Kluyveromyces lactis: one gene and its partner. The protein of the gene in region 1 binds, or shares a complex with, the protein of each later gene. Links are inferred from orthologs where the notes say so. Each region holds a gene or a part of one and is shown on either strand. Other genes may lie near its edges.

Region 1 (2,889 bases):
TATAAATTTTATTTAATATAATATATATATTAAATAAAAAAAAGAATATTGAAATAATTTTATTATTAATTACTATTTAACATTTTTAAAATTAAAATATTTTCCCCGCGGACTCGTCCCCGGGATACCCCGGGGACGAGCCGCGGGGTTTATATTATTTTCATAATTAAATAATACTTTTTTTAATTTTAAACTATTACTCTTCCCCACGCGGCTCATCCAACCCTTTATGAGGGTTGGATGATGCCGCATTTGCGGGGCTTCTAAATCTAAATATTCAAATAATAAATCCCCCGCGGTCTCATCCTCTGGGATTACCAGAGGATGAGCCGCGGGGTTAATTATGTTTTGATTTTACTTCATTATAACATTTATAATATTCTTCCCCACGCGGTACACCCAACCCTTTATAAGGGTTGGGTGATGCCGCATTTGTGGGGCTTATTTTGATTTAAATTTAATCATTATTAATATTTTGAGAATAATATCTTTTTTGATTATTATTAAAAATAGATAAAAAAGAATATTGATTAGTTAAATTATTACCTTTAATAATTACTTTGCATTTTTTCTACCTACATAGAATAATACATTTTCAATTGTTGATACAACTGGTACAATAACTAAGAAGTATGCAAAATAAATTACAGTAGCAATTTGTCCCATTACAACAAAAGGAGGCTCTACATGACATTCTCCTAAGTGGCCTAATAATACAAAGTTAGCAATAAATAAGAAGAAGAAGAATTTAGAGAATACTTTAAATGCGTTACCTCTAATAACACTTCTATCTGTAATAGGTAATACTAATAAAATTAAAATAGCACCAAACATAGCTAATACTCCTAATAATTTATCAGGTACTGATCTTAAAATTGCATAGAATGGTAATAAATATCATTCTGGTACAATAGATGCAGGTGTAACTAATGGATTACCAGGAATATAGTTATCTGGATGTCCCATTGTATTAGGTGAGAAGAATACAAATAATGAGAAGAAGAATAAGAATACAAATACAGTAATTAAATCTTTAAAAATAAAGTAACCATGCATTGGTAATCTATCTAAATTACCTGTAACACCTAAAGGATTTGATGAACCATGTGTATGTAATGCCATAAAATGCATAATTACAAATGCAGCAATAATAAATGGTACTAAATAATGGAAAGCGAAGAATCTTTGAATAGTAGGATTAGAAACTGAGAATCCACCTCATAATCATGATACAATATCATTACCAATAAATGGAATAGCTGAGAATAAATTAGTAATAACTGTAGCACCTCAATGACTCATTTGTCCATATACACAACAGTATCCTAAGAAAGCAGCAGCCATTGTTAATACAAAAATAATAACACCAACATTTCATACTAATGTTCTAGGAGCTCTATATGAACCATAATATAAACCTTTACCAATATGAATATACATACAAATAAAGAAGAATGATGCACCATTAGCATGAGCATATCTAATAAATCATCCTCCTTGAACATCTCTCATAATATGTTCAACAGCTGAGAATGCTAATTCAATATTAGATGAATAATGCATAGCTAAAAAAATACCTGTACAAATTTGAATTACTAAACATAATCCTAATAATGATCCTAAATTTCATCAATAATTAATTGATGAAGGTTGTGGTGAATCAATCATATAACTATTTAATAAATTTAAATAAATATTAGATTTTCTAAATGACATATTTTATTTGAATTATTATATTTTTAAATATATATATAAATATAATATATATTAAATATATAATATAAATATTATATATTCCCCACGACGAACGTCGTGGAGGAGCCGCGGGGCCCTTATATAAATATGACCCCCGCGGATCACCCGACCCTTTATGAGGGTCGGGTGATGCCACGGGAGAAAGGGATAAATATATAATTATAATAATATAATTATGTATAATTTATATATATTATTTATATGAATATCCCCGCGAAATTATTTATAATTTCGCGGGAGATAAATAAATATTTTATAAATATAATATTATTGTATTATATATATAATAATATATATATAATAATTATTATAATAATATAATAAATATATTATTATCAAGTAATTTGATACATATATAATATATATGTATATTGATTATTATTTTATAATTATATATTACTTCTAATATATCCCACGGATATACTTGGTAATATATCCAGCCCCCGCGACATGACCCTTTATGAGGGTCATGTCGCGGGGGAGAAGGGATTATAAAATATATAACCTTAATCGGAATTGAACCGATATTTTCAACATGAAGAGATGATGTCGTAACCATTAGACGATAAGGTCTGTTATATTAGAGATTCGAACTCCAAACCTTTCGATTACAAAACGAACGCTCTACCAATTGAGCTAATATAACTACTATTAACTTATATATAGATTCCCCCCGCGGCCTCACCCAACCGTAGGGTTGGGTGTGCCGCGGGGGGTAAGTTAATTAAAACTATCTCGCTAAATTATCCCTATTTAAGGGAACTAATTTATTATTTTATATATATAGAATATATAAAAATATATATATATATATTATGAAAATATATGCCTAAAAGGCGAATTGTAATTTCTTCCCCGGGGCTCACAACCTAGGTTGTGAGCCGCGGGGTAATCATTATTTATTAATTTTATTATATAATATATTAATATATAATATACAAAAATATATATATATATATAATCCTCGTATTTCAACCCATAAGGAATTGGGAGATTATATAATATGTAATAAAAGGGTATATATAATAATAGAATACCCCGCCATATTGCCAATATTGGCAATATGGCGGGATTATGTAAATATATAAACTCCCGCCATTAGTCGTATGACTAATGGCGAAATACTAATTTATT
Region 2 (2,242 bases), on another chromosome or scaffold:
TAAATGAAATAGCCGATTCGGTTATTACGCGTTATGACCCAAACTTTATAGAACTGGTCACTTCGTGGGAATCAAAATTGTAGTATTGCAAAAGGACAATTCCTTTTCCTCACATGTAACATTATACCACAATCATTATATTTTCTTTTCCAGCAAATATCAATATATCCAAACGCTTAATTACTATGAGAAATTACATAATACCATCAATACCAGAACATAATTAATAGTAACGATGCCAATACTTTGGTAAAACCAATTTTAAATGAAAGTATCAAAAATGAATGATGTAAATCAGATTGGTATATATAGATATATATACATAAGTTAGAATAATAAAGATATATTTGTCAGAGGTTGATATTCACAAAGTTTAGAGATAAATAAGTTGTTTCATTCCTAGAAGAAAATATGATAACGATAATAGCGTCTGCGTTAGCTGGCTATGCAAGTAACGGATATATTGAATTTGAAATCTTTTGCGATCATAATGTAATGTGTTTCCTTCTTCTTTCTCTTCGTCAGAGGGTCATGAGTAATTTTTTTGAATGATATTTTGAATAATTCAGTCAAGGATGAGATTATTTGGCAACTTCCAAGTTGTCCAATTCTTCCTTTTCCTTAACAAAGGCTTCAGCTTCCAACAAATAAGGAGTCAAGTATGGAATGTCATCTTCTGGTTTGGTCCACTTATCTTTTGGCAACAAATGGTGGGACAAAGATAGTTGGTGGGCATTGATGATTCTGTAAATTCTAGCGTAGGATTCATCGGCTGGTAGTCTTCTCAAAGCAGTTTGGGCAAGCTCGTTCTCTTCTTCAATCAAGTCATCGAATCTCAAACCCATCTTTCTGTAACCAGACAAGTTGATGAACTGGTGAGCGATTGGAACGACAACTTTAGCAAGAGCTGGGGTTCTTAAAATGTAGTCACCGATCTTAGCAATAGAAGTAAATGTTTGTGGCATTTGTAATGTGAAACGTGGTTGTTACTTGAGCGTTCGGCCTTCTAAGAATAAGTCAGAAGCTCTGAAACAAATCGGAAAGCTTCGTAAAGTAAATGGAACTTTGACAAAATGTTACCAATGTTTAGTGGTAATGTATTGAATGAAAAGTTTTGATAATCTGCAAAAAATTGTTTCTATCGAGCTAATATTATGTATTAAGCGTTAAAACCGAAAAACTCAAAAAAATCGAAGAACTGGTTAGTACTGACTAAGAAACAGGTACACCACATAATATATTTTAAATTATCGAAATTCATTGGTCAAATATCACGTGATCACTACTGAACCGAAGTGCGGACGCCCATCGTCTGTTCTGGAACTTCACTGGTGAGTTGCCTTCATGATAGCCCGTAACTAGTCGAAATCTATTGATGGTATTGCATTGCACAATTATTTACTATACGTGATTGTTTAGTAGCCAGTCCGCTTTGGAAATCAACCATCGAGCAATTTTACCAGTGAACCATGAATTCACATCATAAACATAAGAAAGTGTGTTAGCCACCTGGGGGCAGCCCATAGACTTATTTTTCACACTAAAGCTTATTCAATAGTGATATTCTGTTGGTTTAGCGCCTGCAGTGCTAGGGAAGGAACACTCTAATAGCAATTTGGTCACAGCCGATGGGTTTTCATTGAGGACTTTCAAAGTCTCATCCCACTTTACCAACACTAAACCCGCGTATCCAGTAGCATTGAAGCCAATACTAGGAGTTTCTGCAAATGCCTTCGATCTAGGCACCAAACATAGCCATTCTTTTGTCATCAGCACGTTATATGCCGGAATACTGGCCTCATCGTCATTTGATTTTTCTGCGTTACTTCCCTCCCAATCCTGGAACATAGATAAAGTTCTCTGCAACAATGATACAAATGTCATTGCTAGTAGATCTTCATCCACTTTTTCAGGATCCTCAGGTAATGGAACGGCGTAGTGTGCAAATGGGATTTTTGCATCTTGTAAAGGTTCAGTCTTAGCGTTCGGAATGAAATGTTCTTTACCACTACATAACTTATCCTGGTAAGGAACGAATTTATAAGGTAATGGAAGGATTTGAAGATGCTTGTGATCCTGAGAAGAACCACTGTTTGGGCCACAGTTATAGAAGGCCAAATGTCTCAACATCTCATCTTCGTCATCTAATTCTTGCAATAATTTATAAGTAGTTAACAAATCTTTGGGACTTAAAGGAGCTGTCTGCAACAAGTACTTTTTCGTTACTAGTATCAAATGGTTT

Evidence for each region. Proteins that work in one complex are often made in the same cells at the same time.
Region 2: the proteins of CYTB (region 1) and QCR7 are in contact, whole or in part, in a cryo-EM structure (PDB 8Q1B), measured with the Schizosaccharomyces pombe proteins. The link is inferred for Kluyveromyces lactis from reciprocal best matches to the Schizosaccharomyces pombe genes cob and qcr7. Residues at the interface, in YP_011104932.1 of Schizosaccharomyces pombe: Ser24, Asn25, Lys107, Tyr108, Pro109, Leu210, Val212, Thr213, Ala214, Met216, Asp217, Phe310, Ala312, Ile313, Arg314, Ser317, Phe318, Asn319, Pro320, Phe321, Ile372, Gly374, Asn375, Thr376, Leu377, Ile378, Asp379, Leu380, Asn381, Leu382; in NP_588364.1 of Schizosaccharomyces pombe: Lys2, Pro3, Val4, Ser5, Leu6, Ala7, Ile10, Gln11, Thr17, Leu20, Leu21, Ile23, Ser24, Asn25, Tyr27, Val28, Leu30, Ser31, Gly32, Tyr33, Arg34, Tyr36, Tyr40, Asp42, Leu43, Met44, Leu45, Glu46, Glu47, Asn48.

The regions. Positions count from the first base shown.
Region 1 is NC_006077.1:20,112-23,000, forward strand, and holds CYTB (apocytochrome b), read right to left. Parts: upstream 1,717-2,889; coding exon 556-1,716; downstream 1-555.
Region 2 is NC_006039.1:60,605-62,846, forward strand, and holds QCR7 (ubiquinol--cytochrome-c reductase subunit 7), read right to left. Parts: upstream 966-2,242; coding exon 582-965; downstream 1-581. Other genes in the region: KLLA0_C00847g (uncharacterized protein), read right to left, coding at 1,552-2,242.